Arabidopsis thaliana: one gene and its partners. The protein of the gene in region 2 interacts with the protein of the main gene of each other region in a pairwise test. Each region holds a gene or a part of one and is shown on either strand. Other genes may lie near its edges.

Evidence for each region. Proteins that work in one complex are often made in the same cells at the same time.
Region 1: the proteins of AT4G18205 (region 2) and MLO4 interact in a protein complementation assay, tested with the Arabidopsis thaliana proteins (one large-scale study listed by BioGRID).
Region 3: the proteins of AT4G18205 (region 2) and CRK40 interact in a protein complementation assay, tested with the Arabidopsis thaliana proteins (one large-scale study listed by BioGRID).

Annotation. Positions count from the first base shown.
Region 1 is NC_003070.9:3,670,612-3,679,520, forward strand, and holds MLO4 (Seven transmembrane MLO family protein), read right to left. Parts: upstream 5,523-8,909; 5' UTR 5,443-5,522; exon of another isoform or gene 5,348-5,442; 5' UTR 5,299-5,347; coding exon 5,173-5,298; intron 4,805-5,172; coding exon 4,747-4,804; intron 4,658-4,746; coding exon 4,437-4,657; intron 4,346-4,436; coding exon 4,229-4,345; intron 3,916-4,228; coding exon 3,855-3,915; intron 3,410-3,854; coding exon 3,318-3,409; intron 3,181-3,317; coding exon 3,106-3,180; intron 2,961-3,105; coding exon 2,875-2,960; intron 2,759-2,874; coding exon 2,709-2,758; intron 2,618-2,708; coding exon 2,577-2,617; intron 2,485-2,576; coding exon 2,311-2,484; intron 2,219-2,310; coding exon 2,183-2,218; intron 2,094-2,182; coding exon 2,026-2,093; coding exon of another isoform or gene 1,956-2,025; exon of another isoform or gene 1,950-1,955; coding exon 1,889-1,949; intron 1,780-1,888; coding exon 1,324-1,779; 3' UTR 1,145-1,323; downstream 1-1,144. Other genes in the region: AT1G10990 (uncharacterized protein), read right to left, coding at 1-480; AT1G11020 (RING/FYVE/PHD zinc finger superfamily protein), read left to right, coding at 6,357-6,818, 7,122-7,245, 7,360-7,739; AT1G11040 (HSP40/DnaJ peptide-binding protein), read right to left, coding at 8,614-8,909.
Region 2 is NC_003075.7:10,071,032-10,077,031, reverse strand, and holds AT4G18205 (Nucleotide-sugar transporter family protein), read right to left. Parts: upstream 3,322-6,000; 5' UTR 3,183-3,321; coding exon 3,152-3,182; intron 3,070-3,151; coding exon 1,967-3,069; 3' UTR 1,662-1,966; downstream 1-1,661. Other genes in the region: PUP10 (purine permease 10), read right to left, coding at 1-678, 827-857; AT4G18203 (uncharacterized protein), read left to right, coding at 3,373-3,381, 3,533-3,580, 4,112-4,288; PUP7 (purine permease 7), read right to left, coding at 4,003-5,144, 5,227-5,257.
Region 3 is NC_003075.7:2,286,486-2,294,094, forward strand, and holds CRK40 (cysteine-rich RLK (RECEPTOR-like protein kinase) 40), read left to right. Parts: upstream 1-3,416; 5' UTR 3,417-3,559; coding exon 3,560-4,400; intron 4,401-4,562; coding exon 4,563-4,679; intron 4,680-4,749; coding exon 4,750-4,883; intron 4,884-4,970; coding exon 4,971-5,181; intron 5,182-5,260; coding exon 5,261-5,498; intron 5,499-5,595; coding exon 5,596-5,734; coding exon of another isoform or gene 5,735-5,770; exon of another isoform or gene 5,771-5,947; coding exon 5,948-6,232; 3' UTR 6,233-6,465; downstream 6,466-7,609. Other genes in the region: AT4G04580 (Homeodomain-like superfamily protein), read right to left, coding at 7,276-7,377, 7,486-7,561.

The sequences.
Region 1 (8,909 bases), on a different chromosome or scaffold from region 2:
TTGAACCAGAAGCTGGGGTATGTCGGTTTCACTGGACACCACAATAGTACTAAACTGTTGAGACTGTTGAGCGTATAGCGGTGGCGGGCCTAGCAGCGCAGGTGTCAAGTCAGGTTCATTGGACGCCACAAGACTGTACTGTTGAGATTCTTGAGCGTATAGCCGTGGCTGACCTAGCGGCGGCGCAGGTGTTAAGTTAGGTTTAGTGGACGCCACAGGACCACATTCTCGAGCCTTTGGAAGCGCGGATGGTGGCGGCGAGTTAGTTTTGGTGGAGCCCTTTCTATAGCCTATATATGGATTATTCAAAAGATAAACAGAAGCAAGGAAATCTATGTTACACCAAAAGTAAGATAAAAGGAACTCACGTCGTATGATCCAAATAACCAGAAATGTTGCTCCGGCTATGAAACCTGGCATCACTAAAACCGGCATCTTCTCGTCTTTTTTTTTACCATGTTTCATTTCTCTGTTATTCATTTTTGACTTGATCTTTTGGGGATCGCCAGACCAGATCTAGTGATGGATGATTCTATAGAAACTGTATAGTGCAAGTTTAATTTTATCATTTGAATGAAAAGAAGAAGAAAAAAACAATTGTTTATGACATGTGTGTGACAACTGGCAAGTCTTATTTAAAAGTCAATACCAACGGCGGTAATAATTGATACCTGGTTACTTAAATCCTTAGATTTTCTTAATGCCATAATTGACCGAGTCTATCAATGACATTGTTATCATAACTCAAATCAGATTTGATAACTTCTTAATTTCGTAGTTGACATAAATTAACAATCACTATGATAAAATTTGATATTACTAACTTACTCTTTGTCCCAAAAAAAACAAAGTATCTTACTCAAAAACTATGTACAAAACTAGTTTTAAGACCGAGTACAAAACTACTTTTAAGTTGTATTTACTAGAAATACAACTTAGTAATAATCGACAGGAAATTAATCAAATCCATCGGTAGGCGTGACTGCACAGAAGAAGGAAAATGCTGCAGAGGTAAATTCATAAATAATCAAATGACAGGTGACAAGTCTTTATCTCTGTTTTGAAATCAATATATGTATAGCTGCCATAATTTGTGGTCTTTGTTTATACTGCCATAATCAAAAAGTTTCCTAATGCCATAATATCTCGTTCCAATCCATGCTATTATATTTTAAATTTACCTCTGAACCAACAAAAGATGTACTTTGATCATTGAATACTTTTTTTTACTGGACCAACAAAAGATTTACTTTGTTAATTGTTATTCTTGTATGGATGTCAAGTAATTACAACTGAACCAAGCTTCTAAAAGCAGAAACAAGATCAAGTCCTCCTAAACAACTCAAGAAGTGTTTCTCCAGCATCACCGTTATTCTCATCACTCCCACTTCCTCTCCCTCCATTATCTTCTTCACCTTCAATCTCAATCTCAATCTCATCGTTTAAAGGCGGTATCGAACCGATGTTATTGTATGTTTCAGACAGATATTCTTCCACCCTCGACGTGTATCCATCTTGAGGACTGCTGGATGAAGCTGCTGCTCCGAATATAGACTCTGCTTGGTCTATGGAGTTTATGGTAATCTGATTCAGTGAAGTCATCGATGAGCTCCTAGACAATGTCCCCACTGTCATCTCGTCTCTCTCGTCTATTGTTGCTGTGTCAAGGGAACACACTGATCTCGTGTGCTTAGACCTCTCTTTCACTCTCTTGCACCAACTGTGAAGTGAGTCTCTTACGCTCTCTGCTATCACAGCTTTCTTATGCCGAGATCCCATCTGTTCAGATTCAGGTGAAACCATAGAGTTTTTATGAACGATGTTTAGTCACAGACTTGGATAGGCTTAAGATTGTGGAATTGTAGATATATGAAAGGTTTTGACGAACCTGAGTAACGATTACATTGAGAGGCACAGTGCCATAACTACACCAGAACTGAACGAGAACCCTGCATTCACCAGAAAGAAAAAAAAAATCTTAAGAGACAGTGTGTTGCTGCGAATTGTTGTGTATTTGAAACGCACCCAGAAATTAGCCGGCTTGATATCATCACATGGTTCTTCATGAAGCAAGATCTTTCCTTGATTCCCCACTGATACATGAAATTGATGATCTTCTCAAAAACTGAAAAACTTTGCATAGCTGATTTAAGTATTGATGCATTTTATAAGGTGGCCTTACCAAGAACCAGATGAATGTTGCCATTTCAAATGCATTCTGCATTAGCAGGAAATATATAAGGATCATCTGTGTGAATAGAGTAATATCATGGCTTGAAGAATTGAGAAAGGAAAAGTCTTTTTGCTTACCTGAAAAATGATAAATTGTATCAACCGTAGCAGAATTTCTGGTTTCCCAAACCAGAAGAGCCCATCACGTGGTTTGACTTGAGCCCCATTAGATGTGCCTGTCTGCTGCTCCTTAACCTCGAGAGCAAGCTTGGAGACAACATGCTCAAGTTTGGTTCCAACCAACATGACAAGCTTAGACAACAAAACAGATACAAACACATGCTCTGAGTGTTAGTACTGCCTTATGAATTTCAAGCTTTTTACTTAATCTTGCTTTTACTTACAATGGCAGGAACGAATGATATCCAAAAGTACATATTCAGGCCTGCAAGGAAATCACTGAATTAGTAAAGACAAAGCTTTAATGTGGAGATAGAAATGGAATGTAGTTTGTATTTATTGAACCGATAAGTTACCATGAACATTTATGCAGATGCATACTATAGCGTAAACCCAAAGTGGCCAGCTGTTGATTCATCAAGAAACATTCATCAGTCCCATTCTGTAACTCCCTTACGAAATCTTCTGAAAACAGTTGAATAAAGAGTCTTTGATAAGATCTCAATTCTCAGAAACGCATACCTAATTCCAACAATGCCATGAAACTCATCTTCCATCGTCCGTACCATATACATATGGAAGTTGTATGTAAATGGCAAATTATGTTTCTGAAATTTTAAAGTAATGAAGACCGGATTCAGAAAACTAATCATGTCAGCTACCAGATTAGATGAGAATTCTTGAGAAATTACTAGAAAGTTATATTTTAAATTTGAAGGAAAGACTGAGAAACGAAATAAAAAAGTTACTCACAGTGAGGAAACCTAACCGAAGTGCGAAGTAGTCAGACTTTCGTATGGAGCCTCTAAATTGCCGCAGGAAACAAAGCTGCAATGCAAACATATATTTTATTGCTGGACAAATGCCGTAAAAATAGCTTCTGGAGAAAAATATAACAGTGTTCTTAACTAGAGATATGAAATTTTTAAAAAATTACAGCTTAAGGTAAAAGCATGGGGAGTTACCATCCAAATGAGAAAACGATTGTTACTCCAAGGATGAGAGGCATGATGGAAAACAAATGTAGACTGACGCTTCATCACCTTGGTCTTCTTTGCTGTTGAACAAAGTCAAGAAGACTAGGGTATATATGACTGGAAACTAAAGCATCCTAGGCATTAAGTATCTTTAACAATGAATCAGCTGTTTGTGATAAAGCTAAAATTACAGAGATACATCTCTTTTCCACACAGTTCATTTCAATCCTGTATAAGTGATTATACTAGGACAGAAAGGAATTTTTCCTATATCAGTATTTATAAGTGATTATACTGGATTTGATCTGCTAGTCAAGATGAAGCGAAATTTGCAAATCTGCATAAAAGCCTCTCCACAGCTTAAGTGAGTTCATGAATGAACAACCTAAATACTTAACAGAATCCTAGTTTCATGCTGTTCTTAATCCTAAGATAACACAGTTCCTCATGTGCCCTCAAGATGAGACCCATCAAAAACATACAAGCCTTAATTTGAAGGAGAGACAGAAAAGTCTTGTCATTTACCGTGGATATCTGATTCAGCCATTATGATCGCTTGGGCTTCCCATTTTCTCCAACTGTAAATCTGTGTTACGTGATAAAAAGACAACACTGTTTCAGATGGTATTGATATGTTCGTCTGCTTAATCTTACTAACACTCTATGCACATAAATGATAATATCGAAGGTTTTCCCTCAATTTTCAGATTGAAGATAATTTCTATTTGACATATACTTAGGACCACTAATTATTTGATCATGAGGTTCTCTACATCCTCTAGACATGAGGATAAAGTTGATTGCAAGTATAATACATCTCTTCCTTTCGGAGCAACATAGAAATACTTAAGAATACAAATTTAACACTCATATGTAGATTTAGGAGCTAGGATGTGTACCTTGCTCATGGCTAAACCAATGGCAATGCCACTGTATAGAACATGAGTGATACCCAGGACGAATAAGAATCTTAGGAGTTGCTCGAGTCCCTCATACGACACAAATGGTTCACGGCCCTGGCATTGGATCCAACATCCAGTTCAGTAATATAATTAAAAGTCAAAAGGAAAATAGGCTCTTAAGTCGATAGAAAAAGTAAATATTTACATGACCACATTGATGAGAGGCTTCATGTATTCCATGATGAGGTAAGGAGCTCTGGTTTGTAGAAGAGGTGTGTTCCAGAAGAACTTTCTTATGGATTCCATAGTCCTCTTCAGAGCAAATGTAGAATTTACTATTGAAAAGGGAAGAGTTAACACAGATTTCTGAAATCCATCTCGCGCTTTGTGACAACAGAAGTGATATAAGTCCCAGCAACATCAACTCTACCAAGAAAGTTTAACAAGTCAAAATCAAACGAAAAAGAAAGAAAGTATAAAGCACCACAACATCAGCACAGGTTTATTTGACATACCCTCTTTCATTTTCTCAAGTGAAGTAAAAAGTGCCTTTCTTCTAGTCTTCTTTAACCACTGAAAACAAAACAGAACATGAAATTAGCTCCTCATATATATCTAACATGAAAGACACATCCTGTAATAATGACTTCTCTTAGAGTGAAAACATCAACACTACTTCTACTGACATTTAGCAAGCATAAACACATATCTCCAAGAAGAAACATCTCGTCCATAAAAATTCTCACTTTCTAGCACCCATTATTAGATAAAACATTTCCAGCTCATGAATCATGGAGAGCAAGAGTTAACCCAAGTGGCAAGTGTGCAGAAAAAAAAAAAAAATCATAATACGTTCTTCACACTCATTCTTTTGAGCTGAGCATTTCAACAAACATATAGTAGGCACACACACGAAGAAAAAATACAAAACAAAAACACACCTTTCCAAATCTGTAAATGGCGCGTTCAACGAGAAAGCAAACAAAGACCAAAACAGTAACAACCGAAGCAACAGAGTAAGTCGGCGTCTCTGCAAGAGACCTTCCTTCTTTCATCATATGCTCCATCTCCGGCGAGGAACTTTTCTCCCGAGAAAAATGGAGAATCAATCTGCATCTGTGATTAAGAAAGTTTAGCTTTTTCCTCCATTTAATTTTCTACAATAAAATATACTAGTCAAAGAGAAGAAAAAAGCTCATGGAATGCTGTACCAAGTAGAAACCAAAGCACATGGTTGCTTCCTCGTCTTCTCCAACGGTCTTCTCTCTTCTCTTTCTTTATTCAATTGCTTCTTTCATTTATTGCAGCATTCATGTGCTTCCCCCTAAATGTCGTTAAAGAACCTAAATTTAATAATGCAATTTAATAGCCGGACTTTACCGACCGGTACAACCATTAGTCGATAATAACAAAGCCGGGTTGATGATATCTCAATCGGTTTACGTATCATTGAAATTAGGAGAGAGATTCAATCACTGTCCGAATTAAATGAACAATAATCAGATACAAAAACCAAAATTACGCCATTTCATACAATTTTTGTAAACCGAATTTATAGCAGCAATCTACTAATCATAATCTAGCAGCAACAACTCAACCGATTTTACTGATAAATGGCGGTTAATATTAGAAGTTTACGAGTACATCAAAGCTTTGACTAATGATACTAGGATTTGGCAATTTGTGGTGGACCGGTCACTGTTTTGCCAGGAGAATAAATGAATATGATATAATAAATTAACACGTGTACAAATTCCCAACATTGGGGTGGTGGCGCAGTTGGCTAGCGCGTAGGTCTCATAGCTATTGAGTGATCCTGAGGTCGAGAGTTCGAGCCTCTCTCACCCCATTTCCCTTTTTCTCTGTAATTTTCAATTCCCAAAATAAAGAAGCTTTCGTTTCTCTCTCGCATTGACCCTTCTTCTCCAGTTTTATGTTTTGCCTCTCTCCCACTTCTGTAAATAATCTTCTCACATCCCCGCACGATTATTCTCTAGCCGATCAACGAACACAGAGACGCTAATGTATTTGACTCGATTCGAATCATTAGTCCTCTAATCACACCGATTGATTTCCACCCACAGATTTCTTGTCTGAAATTTAGGGTTAGCGAAGGTTTGGATCAATGATGCAAGGTGAAGTACAATTGCAGCCACCGGATTCACAGAAACTAAGTGATTCCGCTCCTTTGTTAGGAGATCACACCAATTCTTCTTCGGCGTCTCCTTCTGCTGCGTCTGTGGTGGCAGGAAATAGCGATGAGATAAAGGCTGAAGAAGATTTAGAGAACGATGCTTCTTCAGCTCCTTGTTGTCGTATTTGTTTGGAGGACGATAGTGAATTGTTAGGCGATGAATTGATTTCACCTTGTATGTGTAAAGGCACTCAACAATTCGTGCATCGCTCATGTCTCGATCATTGGCGATCGGTTAAAGAAGGTTTTGCTTTCTCTCACTGTACTACTTGCAAAGCACAGTTTCATCTGAGAGTCGAACCCTTTGAGGATAACAATTCGTGGCGTAGAAAAGCTAAATTCAGACTCTTTGTCGCAAGAGATGTGCTTTTGGTTTTCTTAGCTGTGCAGACTGTGAGTATCTCTCTCTCTCAGCTTCTCTTCATAGTTTTCGTGAGGATTATAAAGCATTTATTAAGAGATTCTGAGGATAAATTTTATATGATGTCATAATCTGGCTCACAAAGTGAACTAGATTCGAATCTTGACCTGGTTACTGCGTACACATGGTGGGTGCTTGAAATTGACAATGGAAGTTGATGACTATCAAATTGTTCATTTTGCTCACTGTGACTTGCCATTTTTGAAGCTTGTTTTTCATAGAGATTGTCTGAATCTTTTTGACGTCTGATAATAAGAAGATTGTTGAAACTCTAGGTTATCGCTGTGATGGCCGGATTCGCATATATGATGGACAAAGACGGAGAGTTTCGCAACTCTTTCAACGATGATTGGGATCGTATTTTGTCGAAACATCCCATCCCGTTTTATTACTGCATTGGTATTTACTGAATCTTTCATCTCCCTTTTATTGCGTAACTAGTATACCTTTCAAATACCACGGATCTAGAAGCCTTACACGCGTTTGAACATTTGGTGTGTCATGAATTCTTAGGGGTTATATCCTTCTTTGTGCTGACTGGATTTCTTGGAATCATTCTACATTGCTCTGCTCTCAACGGTAATGACCCGAGGATGGCTGGATGCCAGAACTGCTGTTATGGATGGGGTGTCTTGGATTGTTTCCCTGCTTCAATGGAAGCTTGTTTCGCTCTTGTTGTTGTTTTTGTCGTCATCTTTGCCATTCTTGGTTTAGCGTATGGGTTTCTTGCTGCAACTATGGCTATCCAAAGGATATGGCAGAGACATTACCATATTCTCACCAAGCGAGAGCTCACAAAGGAGTACATTGTGGAGGATCTTCACGGAAGTTACACTCCCCCGAAGCTGGATGCAGAGCACGAAGGAAGACTGAAAATGCTGAAACTTCTGTGACCGTGTTTTTTAACTGTCAAATAAAGGTTGTAAGGAGTTTCGGGCACATGAGAGAGACGAGTTCATACGTATATGTTCACAGAGTGTCTTTCTTTTCTTTATCATGCGATGAAAAGTACCTAATGGATATTTTGTCTTATATATATTTATTATAATTATGGTATGAGGTGATGCAATGCTACTGGTTTTTCAGTGACTATTAAAGATATTGAGACCCAAATCTACAAACAGAGTCTATATACCGACTGATGTTTCAGTTATCACACAAAAAGCTCTCACCAGAGAAAAGGGATATTAGTGTAAAAGTGTTCCTTTTTGAGTTACAGTTTCTGAAAGCAGTGAGATGATAACGGAGAGCATAGGTACGTCGTTGCAGCTTAAATTTCCTACAAACCCCCGAAAACCTAAAAATATAACAAAAATACGACCACAGTGGGAGTCGAACCCACGACCTTCTGATCCGAAGTCAGACGCGCTAATCCACTGCGCTATGCGGTCATTTAGTATGCTAGTGCAGATTATAGTATATAATATCATCGTTTTCTTTTGGATTCACTCCAAAGAACTCGTAAAAGTCGTAAGCATTACTAAAGCTAAGTTGATTGTCAATTTTTTCAGATAGTTATCTTTGTCGATATACTGATCAATGTTAACTACAAGAAGACAATTGTATCATTCACAGCAAGAAAGAATCATAGAAAAAACAGCTCAATCTAAGAAAACAAAATGTATATATAAAGGAAAATATATAAAAATAAGCCTAATGTCAACGAATCACAACTTTAACGCATCAAGCCCACTCGACTAGTAGGAAACATATATACAATGAAGGAAGTGAAAGGCATGAAGAAACACATATGCATATTATAAACCTTTATGCCCAAGAACAATCTTTCAACACCTCATAGGCCATTGATCGTTGTTCTTCACTCAACTTCTCCGGGAAATTCACTAAAAACGTTATTCTCAAATCCCCTCGCTTACCTTCTTCTTTAGCATTTGGCATACCTTGACCTTTTATCGCCTTCTCAAATCCGTGGAAGATCACATCTCCCACGGTTATCGACATTGACTCTCCGCTCAATAGTGGCACCGAGAGTTTGCATCCTGTTAAAGCCTTTAAAAGAGGAATCTCTACCGCAATCTCTAAGTCGTCTCCACGTCTTTTGA
Region 2 (6,000 bases):
TTTGCTTCTTTAGGACTTTTAGAAAGGCTAGCTGTTGTAGGGATAAGACTAGACCATAACCAGCAGACGCAGCAACGGTGCATATGAAACCTTTGACATACTCTCCTTTTGTAACTTTTGTGGAGTCTGTCTCCTCATTATTGAATGCAAGTAGGGTGGAAGATATAGTTAGGAGGAAAAGAGAATTTAAAATGATAGGGGTAAGTTTTTGTGAGTTAAGAAAATAAGAGAAGAAAGCATTGAAGGCTAACTGAGATGCACAGATCAGGGAATAGGTAGAAACGGGTAAGTAAAGAAGTCCAATGGAGTACAGATAGCAATCTGCTCCTACAAGAAGTCCAAGCACTACGTAAACCAATACACGGTTCCTAGGTGAGGTTCTTTTTCCATCTCTATCAGTTGTTGCATGTGTTTTAAATGACAAGATATAATATGGAAGTAGCACAGGAAAGCCAACAAGTTGAACTACCGTTGCTAGCCATTTACTGTTTCCTCCGTTGTCATAGTATACTCTGCCCAAAATTGTAGCAACTGTTTGGCCTGAAATGACAAAGAATGTATATAAAGTCACCCTGAGCCACCGTTTGTATGTGTTAGAGTGAGATACTTCTGCTTGGCTGCTACTGACTGAATTTCTTTCATCTTGAACTGTTGGATTTGGTTCTTTTCCCTGCCGAACTGGTAAGTGAGTGAAAATAACGCAAAAATTAGTTTATTTGTTGTCGATCGTTTCATATATTGAATTATAAAATATCATAACCATCTTTTTTTTTTTTGAAGATGAAAGAATAGGACGTTCACCACAAACTGGTTTATGCTTACTCACCAATGATTTGTAGTTCTTGATCCGCCGTCATGGTGGATGTGGAATCACCACCTTGGAGATGGACAAGGAGGAACTAACGTATCTTATTATCAATTCTCTTGGTTGATAATGCTACCAAGTGATTGCTCCTTTGATATGGGTGAGATATGCTAAGTTATATATTCTGGGATTAGGAATCGGTCACCGTCTAAGTTTTCTTTGTTCTTGGCCCCACATTCAGTAAATGCCAACCATATCTCTTCTCTTTCCATGAATTTAGTATCTGTAGTCTTTCTACATGCAAAGATGCCTCTATTGTTGACCAAGAGATGAGTTAAGTCTAGGAGGAAATTATGTGTAGGCAATATTCATTCAGACTTTCTTCTGCAACTATGTGGAGGACATGAACCCCATACGCATAGACAAATAGAAACTTAACACGCATACGCATATGTATGAACGTGTACACAAGTTGTAGTATTCTGTGATCTTGATGAGGACGACATTTCTAAAAGTTATTTGTCTTTTTAAATTTATTTGGATTGGGTACACACTTCGGTTTCCATGGCTAGTCATGAAGTTTTTGCCATCAAGATGATGCTGACGTTAGCTAAAGATTATGTCTCGCCTATCTTTTCAAGAGAAGACATTCGCAACAACTTAATACTGGACGGCAGAGGAAGTCGCTATATAAAATGGTATTATTTCTGGTCATTTACTTTTTGTTCAAAGCTCTGTTTCCCCAAGGATGTTGGACCAATCTGACAAATTATCTTCTATCTCTCATTATACATGATTTGCTGTTTGTTCTTGTTTCCCAAGATTTAGGTGCATTTCAAAACTAGAAAGGAGAATATTGCATTGACATATCTGTAAGTTATGCTAACTGGTCAATTTTTATCGGGTTTCACACTCACACAATGAAAGTATCACAAAATTGACATGGTTTTTCTGTTAAATAAATGACTGCTTTTATCACTCTGCTCGTATTACACAATACTCTTTTGAATAAAAGTTCTAAATACCTGAAATATGAGCGACATACATATCCCATTTGCATGGACCATTACGGATATTACACATACAAGCTTTATATAGGTTATTTACATGACTGTGTACAACTATGTATGTTTGTTTCTGAGACCTTCGATACAACTTGTTTCATAAAGTTTGTGTTTCTTCCTCAACAGGTTTTGTCTGGCAAGTCTTCAACTTCTTTTCGTCGAGGTAGTGCTGATAGACAAATGAAAGGAAGCCCCAGATAGCTAAAATGATGGAGAAAATCTTTGATGCATCCATCTTATCATGGAAAACTATCACTGCTACAACTGGAACTATAGGCAGTCCCACAGCAGTTATGGAATTGGAGAACACAGAAGAAGACTCGAAGATTAATCCCACACAACCAACAGTGTATACTTGCCAGAAAATAGCTGCTGAGGCCAAAGTCAAGATATATGACACTTTCCCCAGTTTGTAGTTTCTCATCTCACTTGGCAGAGTTCTCCACTCTCCACTTGCAAACAGTCCTATGAGTACCACACAAGTTGCAACTAGAGACTGGTAATTGGCCAAGTCCAGGACTGCTGAGGATGTATGCTTCGTGAAAACTTTCCTGAAGAGCAGTTGTATCAGAGATAGTACCAATCCAATCCCAGCGGAAGCACCAATGGTACAGATGAACCCAATCACATATTGTACTCTAGATACATTTGTTGTGTTTTCTGAATCAGTGTTGACCACGAGGAGGGCAGAGGAAACCGTAAGGAGAAACAAAGAATTGACTATCAAAGGAGTGAACTTTTGCGAGTTAAGGAAATATGAGAAAAAGGCAGTGAAGGCCAACTGTGAGGCCAAGATGAGGGAGAAAGTAGAGACTGGTAAGTAAAGCAACCCAACTGCAGACAAATAAGCATAAGCAGACACTAGCAGTCCAGTGCACAAGTAAACCGATGCAAGGGTGGTGAAGGAAGGGGACTGACTGAAATTTGTATCTGTTGATTTGGGTTGCCTGATTCGAGAAAAGAAGCGGAAGAGAATCAGTACAGGGAAGCCAATGAGTTGAAGAAGTGTTACCACATATGTGCTTTTCCCTCCATTTTCATAGTACAGTCTACCCAGAACTGTAGCAAGTGGTTGGCAGAAGATGACAAAGATTGCGTATATGGAGACACGGAGCCACCTCTTACAGTTCTTCGTTTGAGGTACTGAAAATGATTCAGTTTCCTCATGATCTAGAAGGTTTGCTTCTAAGTTCTGGTCACCTGAAAAATTAACACTCGTGGTTATTATATTTCATCGAAAGAGGATCAAATGATCTAACGTCATCAGGTACCTTTTGCTTACCATTGCAATAGTGTACTTGAGATATGCCCATGAGAAATGAGAAAATTTGGAAGAAAGAATATTGTGTTTATTGATTTCTTTCGTTTGATATGTCTTTTAGATACAGAAGAGACCTTTCTTTATACACAAAATGATATTTATTATAGTAACTAAATACCCCAGATACAAGTTGCACTAATCAAACTTGGCAGACTTTTACTAATTTGTGTATAATAATAAAGATGGGTCAGGTGATAGATGACAGCAGTATCATAATTTAGTAGTCTCATGCTGACCATTGACCTTTCTTATTTGCTTACACTTGACTTAAAATTCTTAAAACTTTTGAATGGCGGCTCTAAGAGAACTCTTTTTCCTCAGTGTCTATTGACGTTAAATCAGAAGTCAACAAAGATACAAGAAGCCAAGCTCCTAGAGTATACGTTTTTGGTATTTTAAGGAGTTTTGTTGCAAGTCACTACATTGTTTATCTGTTATGTCAGTGGCTTCCAAGTAAGTGGGTATTATATCTGTTCACTTGTTTTTTTTTTTTGCTCAAAGCTCTGTTTTAGCCTATTTGTCTCTCTGACTTCGTTGTTTGCTCTTGATTCGGTGTTTCAAATGCATTGCAAAATTACAAAGCAGAGTATTGCATTTGCATCTTTAAGAAAACTTATTGGTATATATAGAAGAAAAATATTCTGAAATTATTGGTATCATATGTACAAAACTTATTAGCTATTATGACTGACTAGTTTGCAAAGTAGCGTTACACGTTTTTTATGCTCAAACTGTACAAAGATACATTGGCTTTGGCCTTTGAGGGGAAAAAAAGAAAGATACATTGGCTTTATACTGGAAATATGCTTTGATCACACACTTTGTATGTTTGTGTGACCTTCCTCAACAGGTAGATGAAGATCTCCTACAGCACTTGTGTGGCTAGTATTCAACTTCTTTTCGTCGAGGTAGTGCTGATAGACGAATGAAAGGAAGCCGCAGATAGCTAAAATAATGGAGAAGATTTTTGATGCGTCCATTCTATCATGGAAAACTATCACTGCCGCAACTGGAACTATAGGCAATCCCACAGCTGTTATGGAATTGGAGAACACAGAGGATGACTCGAAGATCAATCCCACAAGACCAAGAGTGTAGACTTGCCAGGAAATAGCTGCCGAGGCTAAAGTCAAAACATATGACACTTTCCCGAGTTTGTAGTTTCTCATCTCACTTGGCAAAGTTTCCCACTCTCCACTTGCAAAAAGTCCTATGAGAACTACACAACTCGCAACTAGAGACTGGTAAATGGCCAAGTCCGTGACTGCTGAGGATGTATGCTTCGTGAAAACTTTCCTGAAGAGCATTTGTATCAGAGATAGTAACAGTCCAATCCCAGCGGAAGCACCGATGGTACATATGAACCCGATCACATACTGTACTCTAGATACATTAGTTGAGTTTTCTGAATCAGTGTTGACCACAAGAAGAGCAGAGGATACAGTGAGGAGAAGCAAAGAACTGACTATCAAAGGAGTGAACTTTTGCGAGTTAAGGAAATATGAGAAAAAGGCAGTGAAGGCCAACTGTGAGGCCAAGATGAGGGAGAAAGTAGAGACTGGTAAGTAGAGCAACCCTACTGCAGACAAATAAGCATAAGCGGACACTAGCAGTCCAGTGCACAAGTAAACCGATGCAAGGGTGGTGAAGGAAGGGGACTGACTGAAATTTGTATCTGTTGATTTGGGTTGCCTGATTCGAGAAAAGAAGCGGAACAGAACCAGTACAGGGAAGCCAATGAGTTGAAGAAGTGTTACCACATATGTGCTATTTCCTCCATTTTCATAGTACAATCTACCCAGAATTGTAGCTAGTGGCTGGCAAAAGAGGACAAAGATTACGTATATGGAGACACGAAGCCACCTTTTATAGTTCTCGGTTTGAGGCACAGCTGATGATGATGATTCAGTTACCACCTCATGATCTATAAGGTTTGCTTCTAAGTTCTGGTCACCTGAAAAATTAACACTCATGTTTATTATATCTCATGAAAAAATGAATTCAAGGATCTAACTTTATCAGGTGCTTCTTCTTACCATTGGCATAGTGTTCTTGAGATCTGTCCATGAGAAAGAAGATTGTTTCTTGTTTTTATTGATTGGTTTTGTTTGAGATGTCGTGCAGATACACAAGAGGCCTTTCTTTAAACACACATTGATGGTATTACAAAAAAACATCTAAATACCCTACACAAGTTGCATTATCAAACATGGCAGGCTTTTAGTAAATCGTATTATATGGATGGGGCAGGCGATAGATGACAGTAGCAGTATCATTATTTAGTAGTCTCATGTTGACCGGTGACTTTTCTTATTTGCTTACACTTGACTTGTGGAATTCTTGAAACTTTTGAATGGCGGCTCTACGAGAATTTTTTTTATTTTCTCAGTGTCTACTGACGTTTAATCAGAAGTCAACAAAGATACAAGAATCCAAGCTCCTGGAGTATACGTTTTTGGTATTTTAAGGAGTCTTTTTACAAGGCACTGTTCAAGTCACTACATTGGTTATTTGTTATGTCAGTGGCTTCCAGGTAAGTGGGTATTATTTTTGTTCACTTGTTTCTTTTTTTTTGTTCAAAGCTCTGGTTTTCCAAGGATGCTTTAGCCTATTTGCCTCTCTGCTATCGATGTTTGCTCTTGTTTTTTGGTGATTCAAATGCATTGCAAAATGACAAAGCAGAGTATTGCATTTGCATCTTTAAGTTATGGGTATCTCCGGTATATAGAAGTAAAAAAGATCCGAACTATTGGTATCTTATGTACAAAACTTATCAGTTACTTATGATTGACTAGAGATACACGTTTTTA
Region 3 (7,609 bases), 7.8 Mb from region 2:
TCTTTCCTTGTTCGAGATCCTCCTTGATATTCAAGTTTATCTCTTTCCTTATTTGTTGAAAAAAATATTCATCAAATCTTCTCAACTGACTTTCGTCTTTAATTACCATGCCAAGTCAGCAAAGCTTCTTGGCACGTCACATCAACCACTCTAGCTCCGTCATGTCAGCTCATGCATCTATGTCAGCAACTTAGACGTTTAATGTAAATTTTGTTGGAAACTGAAGCCTCTTGTTACAAAGAACAAAACAAGTGTTTACTTGTTGTTCTGTTTCTTATGAAATACACAGAGCAAAAGAGAAACTGACTTTTATTGAATGGAGAACTTGTTCGTTTCATCACGATACAAAAGGTTTAAATAGAAAACAAATAGACACAACAAGTGAAGAGTTTTGTCTCTTTCTCTCTAAGATAAACGGCACAACCTAATCTAAAAGTCACGACTCTAACAAACACCTTTTAATACAACATAATTATAACCTATAGACCAAACTCAATTATAAACTAACATTCCCCCTTAATTGAGTTTCGGTCTTACTCCAAGCTTCCTCCTTAGTTCTTCGAACCTTGCCTTGTTTACTCCTTCTTCACTTGCTAGTAAAGCACTTGTGTTCGCCTTTATCCATCTCAATGGAAAACTCTTCTGCATCATCTTCATATCCAGTATCCTTCTTCCTTGAGGATCGTTGATGAGACATCTGTTGTCTTCAAATAAGACTCTGTATCCCTTGGATACCATTTGAGAAACAGTCAACAGATTTCTTGCTAAACCCGGCACTAGAAACACCTCTTTGATGATCTTCTCTCATTGGCTTGTCATCACTTGGATATTTCCTTTTCCTGCCGTCATTACATGTTGACCATTCCCCACTTTGATCGGTACCTTTACACTTTGATCAAGAGTGATGAAGTATTTAACTTCCTTGGTCATATGGTTAGTGCATCCGCTGTCAACTAGCCATGTCTCATCATTCACGTTTGATGATGTTTCTTCTTCGACTGCACTGAACAGCATGTGATCCTCATCATCATTTGTTTCTTCTAGACTTAGATCCACTCGCTCGGTCCTTCTAAGTCTGCAGTTCTTTGCTAGATGTCCCGGTTTGTTACACACGAAACATCTTCTCTCATTGTTCCCCACTTGTTGCGAAAGAACACCTTTGTTCTTCTTCATCCAGCAATCACTCTCATTGTGATTTTTACGTTCGCAAACGTCACACCATTTCCCAGCCTGCGTTTGACGCTTGTCTTCACGTTTGTTTTCTCCATAGAACGCTCCTTCCGTTGATCATTCGTCTCGCATCTCTACCCGCTTCTCGTGTGCTTTCAATGTGCCTATCAACTATGTTACGGACAACGAAGTCAGATCCTTCGTTTGCTTCATCATAGCCACTATGATGTCAAATCTTTTCGGAAGAGAAATTAGGATTTTTTGCACTATTTGATAGTCTGATTTCTCTTCTCCATGAACTCTCAGTTGATTTCCCATCTCAATCAACTTGGTCATGAAAGTGTTGATATTGTCACTTTCTTTCATCTTCAAATTCTCATACTCCCTTCTAAGAGATTGAAGCTTTATCATCCTGACTTGTGGTGATCCTTGAAATTCCAATACCAAGGCTTTCCAAGTGCGCTTGATGCAGGGGCGATTCTCGGAAATATGGAATCTGAGACGGCAGTTTGAAGAATTTGCAAAGCGGTTAGATCCTTTAAGGATGCTGCTTCACATCGTGTCTTTTGTTGCACTGCTTCAGGGCTATGATCTCCTTCTGCGGGTGGTTTTGGAACTCCTTCGTCAACAATTTCCCACAGTTTCTTTGTCTGGAAAATTGTTTTCATCTTGATGCGCCAAAAACCATAATTCTCTTTGTTGAAGATTGGAGTCACAATGTGTGACACCATCTCCATAACTCTCTCGTGTTTATTAAACTCTTTACTTGAAATGTTTGGCCCTTGAATCAGTAGGGCTCTGATACCATGTTGGAAATTGAAGCCTCTTGTTACAAAGAAAAAACAAGTGTTTACTTGTTGTTCTGTTTCTTATGAGATACACAAAGCAAAAGAGAAACTGACTTTTATTGAATGGAGAACTTGTTCGTTTCATCACGATACAAAAAGTTTAAATAGAAAACAAATAGACACAATAAGTAAAGAGTTGTGTCTCTTTCTCTCTAAGATAAACGACACAACCTAATCTAAAAGTCACGACTCTAACAAACACCTTTTAATACAACATAATTATAACTTATAGACCAAACTCAATTATAAACTAACAGATTTGATGCAGCTTCCTAATTTCCAACAGCTCCATGATGTTTATCAGCTCGTTGTTGTCAGAATCTGCATCTTCATAAATTTATAATAAATATAAATATATAATGTATAACTGTATGTAGAACCGTATATTGTGGATCCGTGAATTGGTGGAAGAGTTGCTATTGCGGAATCGTCCAAGAAGCTATTCATAAAATCAATCACGAAAGAAAAAGAATTTGTTTTGCTATTATCTCTATATTGTGGGTAGCCATTTTTGGAATCTTTGAAAAATCAACCAATACGCATTTTCTCTCAGTTTGGAAGTTAACAAAGACGCGTTTTTTCAAGGTTTTGTGGGGACTGGGGACCAAAAGTTCTTAATATGGGTTAACGTCTCACAGGTAATACCAAACATTTCATTTATTTGTGTTTTTCTATCACTATCTTTTCCACATTTTAGTATTTTACTATTACATATAATTTTTGACTAAGAAGTTGATTGTGAATGAGTCTGTACATCTTCCTAGAAATGATTATAAGTATATTATTTAATTTGTTACTCCCTCTATTGTCATTTATTTGTAGTTTAAGTTTCAAGGTTTTGGCACAAATGAAATTATTTCGTTTTTTATTATTATCTTTTAATATAGTTAATTATCTATTTAAAAACAATTCAACAAATTGAAAAAAAAGTTTTGTAGAATTTCTAAGAGTCAAAAATAATAAAATTTCCATTAAAAATTGAAAACAACAAATAAAATGAAACTATTTGTTTTTGCTTAAACAACACTTCTTAAAAAACAGAGGAACCATTGTAAAATAGATTTTTCCCAACACAAATCGAAAACGTAACTTATATAATCTCTATATTTTTAGTAATTCAGCGACTTATCATTTCATTGTTAACTATTTTTCACTGACATGTTTCTCGTTATATAAAAGTCTCTGTTTATGTCAATGGTCGTATGTGAATGGTTCATGTATTATGCAAAACTGTTTATGATAATATTGCCGGGGAAAAAAAACTGCCATGTTTCATTTTTTTACTAGTTATTACATTTGATTATTATCAACCAACTTACCATTGAAAGATAACTTGTGATTATTATTTACAGTAACGAAGAAAATTAGGCCATATTTTGTTTTCTTTTTGGAACCTTTCAAATGTCAAAGCTGGTAGGCTATATAAATATAAACAAAGCTCAAAAATTTATTACTATACTTAACAGTAACGAAGTAGACTACTTCAAGTAGTACATCAAAAAAAAAAAAACCAAAGAAGTTGTTATCTTTAACAAACAAAAATGGGAAAATGCTCTGCTTTGATGATATTCCTCTCTTCTTCTCTTCTACTTGTCCTTCAAACACTCCATGTTGTTAACGCGGTCAAATGTTTCGGAAACTCCTTCAACGGTAACAGCAGCACCTTCGCTCAGAATCGCCAGAAACTGTTCCCTACTCTTGCTGACAAAGTCATCATCAACGACGGATTCTACAACGCTTCACTCGGCCAAGATCCCGACAAAGTTTACGCTCTTGTCAGCTGCGCAAGAGGCTACGACCAAGACGCTTGTTACAATTGTGTCCAATCATTGACTCAGAACACACTAACAGATTGTCGAAGCCGTAGGGATTCGTTCATATGGGGAGGCAATGACGATGTAACTTGTCTTGTACGTTCCTCAAACCAGTCTACTTTTGGGAGCGTCCAGCTTAAACCTCCTGTTGTATGGCCAAGTCCAGATACTATAGAGTCATCTAAAAACATAACCCTTTTCAAACAACAGTGGGAAGAAATGGTTAATCGGACCCTAGAGGCTGCCACGAAAGCTGAAGGTTCCTCGGTGCTTAAGTACTATAAGGCCGAAAAAGCGGGTTTCACCGAGTTTCCAGATGTTTACATGCTGATGCAATGCACACCCGACTTAAGTTCACGAGATTGCAAGCAATGTTTGGGAGATTGCGTGATGTACTTTAGAAAAGACTATATGGGAAGAAAAGGAGGCATGGCTAGTCTTCCAAGCTGTTATTTCAGGTGGGATCTATATTCTTTCCATAATGCTTTTGATAATGTAACAAGAGTTCCTGCGCCTCCTCCTCGACCTCATGCTCAGGAAAAGGAGAGCTGCATAACAGTAAAAAAAGGTAACACAAATTATTTTAGCTTTCATTTAGAGCTCAAAAGAGCCAATTTTGAGGAATATTGTTTACATAAGTGACATGAAGCGGTTTGGTATGAACTTTTCGTGCCAAATTGTTATTATGATTAAGAGGTTAATTCTTAGACAAAGGGTTGGTAATTTGCAGGGAAAAGCATTGGGTATGGCGGAATTATCGCAATAGTTGTGGTGTTTACTTTCATTAATCTTTTGGTGTTTATTGGCTTTATCAAAGTCTATGCACGGAGGGGAAAATTAAATAATGGTAAGTGTAACTTGCTTCAATCAAGCTTATGATGTAGAGAGTAAGGCTTATGGATTTTTTGTTTTTTTAGTTGGTAGTGCAGAATACTCTGATTCTGATGGTCAATTCATGTTACGGTTTGATCTTGGTATGATCGTAATGGCAACTGATGACTTCTCCTCTGAAAATACGCTTGGCCAAGGTGGATTTGGTACGGTTTATAAGGTAATAATAAACTTTTTCCTTAATGATGAGTTCTTGATCAACATTGGTCTTTTATGAGTAAATAGATATCTTGAGAATGGGTTTCAGGGGACATTCCCAAACGGGCAAGAGGTAGCGGTCAAGAGACTAACAAAAGGATCAGGACAAGGAGATATGGAGTTTAAGAATGAGGTTTCACTCTTGACAAGACTCCAACATAAGAATCTTGTTAAGCTTCTTGGGTTCTGTAATGAGGGAGATGAAGAGATTCTTGTCTACGAGTTTGTCCCCAACTCAAGTCTTGATCACTTTATCTTTGGTGAGCCTTCGAAAGACAGCTGCCAAGTTGGATAGATTTAGAACTTTTAGCAAACTAAATGTTTCTTTGAACTCTGCAGATGAAGATAAGCGTTCTCTTCTTACATGGGAGGTGAGGTTCAGAATTATAGAAGGCATTGCTCGAGGTCTTCTCTATCTCCATGAAGATTCTCAGCTGAAGATTATTCACAGAGACTTGAAGGCAAGCAACATACTTTTAGACGCTGAGATGAACCCTAAAGTTGCGGATTTCGGGACTGCGAGGTTGTTCGACTCCGACGAGACTCGAGCTGAAACAAAAAGAATAGCTGGAACCCGGTAAGAAATATATCAATCAAATTTGATGACACATTTCAAATGCTCTGTTTTGAAAACAGAGTCCATGAATTAATGCTATTGGTTTGCATATATGCAGTGGATATATGGCTCCTGAGTACTTGAATCATGGACAAATCTCAGCTAAATCTGACGTTTATAGCTTCGGTGTTATGCTTCTAGAGATGATTAGTGGTGAAAGAAACAATAGCTTCGAAGGAGAAGGACTTGCAGCTTTTGTAAGCTTCTTCACAATTTTTTTTTTTTTTGAATAGCTGGAGGTTTTGGGCCGAAGCCCGTAATCCCCCCAGGACCGAAACCACAGCATGTAATATTAGTTTCGTTCCAAGCGTTACTCGAACCGGCGACCTTAAGCTTCTTCACATATCAGTTTTTGTTTTTCTATCTTCAAAACTTTATCCCGAAAGTAAGAACTTATGTTTTTGGTGTAGGCATGGAAAAGATGGGTTGAAGGAAAGCCTGAGATTATAATTGATCCGTTCTTAATAGAGAATCCAAGAAATGAGATCATCAAGTTGATCCAAATTGGTTTGTTGTGTGTTCAAGAGAATTCAACAAAGAGACCAACCATGAGCTCTGTAATAATTTGGCTTGGCAGTGAGACTATCATCATTCCTTTACCTAAAGCTCCTGCTTTCACTTGGATTCGATCCCAATCTGAAAGTGGTGCAATGTCATTGAGCGACGATGTCTTCACGGAGTTGAGTTGTCGTTGAGATATACATCAGTTAATCAAAATATTTGAATATTTTTTAATATCAAACTCCATTAATCTGCAAATTTGTTAGTAAATCGCATAATCTTGGATTCGAACTTTAGACTTCTTTGGTGTAAAGGCTTTATTAACTCTTGATTAACCTTTGGGCCAAGAGGGTTTTCGCGTCCAGTTTTGTTTTAAAACTATTTTCACCAATATTAATTAATATTATAGAGGTAAGAAATAAATAAACTTAAAATGTTGCACATATAAATATGATTTAATAATAACTGAAATATCTTATAAATCTCAATTAGGAGAAGATAATAAATCTTTTCTTAACAATCAGATAAAATATCAGTTCTTAATTTCAGTTACTTTATTCTGATATATCTTACTCTAAATAGAATTATAAAGAAGTTTTTTTCTTTCTTTTTGTTAAAACAAATATTATAATATAACAATTGTTTTTAAGTATTTTCACATTAATTCCCAAAACAAAATATATCACGTACCTAATATAGTTCTCCCTAATATATTTCTTCTAAATGACCAATAAATTTCAAAGTTGATTTTAATTTTACATGACCAATAGAGTGAGGATAAAAAATCTTTTCTGACCAATCAAATTCCTGATTTTAGCCACTCTACTTGATTCTTATCTTAGTATGAACATATATATAAGGAAGTTTTTTTTTTGTTGTTGAAAATATAATATAAGGAATTTTCCTTGATATTTTCAGAATTCCCAAATAAGAGTATATCTATGTACCTAATATAGTTCTTTCTAATATATTTTTCTAAATATATACCTAAACAAAATCTAGTGCAGCCGAATATTGTCAAAGACTCAAAGTTGCTTTCAATTTTGTAATAGAAATATTTTATATAAATAATATTTCCCCCAAATAGCATGGATGCAAAATCACATAATAGCATTATAAATAGAATACCATAAAATATTGTTCAGTTTTTATTTTTCTTATCCCATTATATATATGAGATAAGCATTACATAAAATAGAGAGCAAGCATAAAAAAAAAGATAGAAACCAAACTCCTCTTAGTACTTGCGACCAAGAGTGAGTTCAAGGGACAATTCTTCTTCACCAGTTGCACCACCAACAACAACAACATCATTGCCTCTGTTTTCATTTAGTCCAACCTGCCATAAAATATACATTAATCTAGTTTCATAGGCATCAAATCAACATGTTGATAATCATGCATGATATTTAGTAATATAAAAATTACAAAAGGAAAAAAAAATTACCTTTGAAGATTGATCTAGAGACTTGTTACTTGATCCCAAAACTGGGGTTATCTTCTCAGTATTATCCAGTTGTAGCCTAGAAGAAATTGAAAAAGAAGATTGTTTTACTCACGAAACCAAAAAA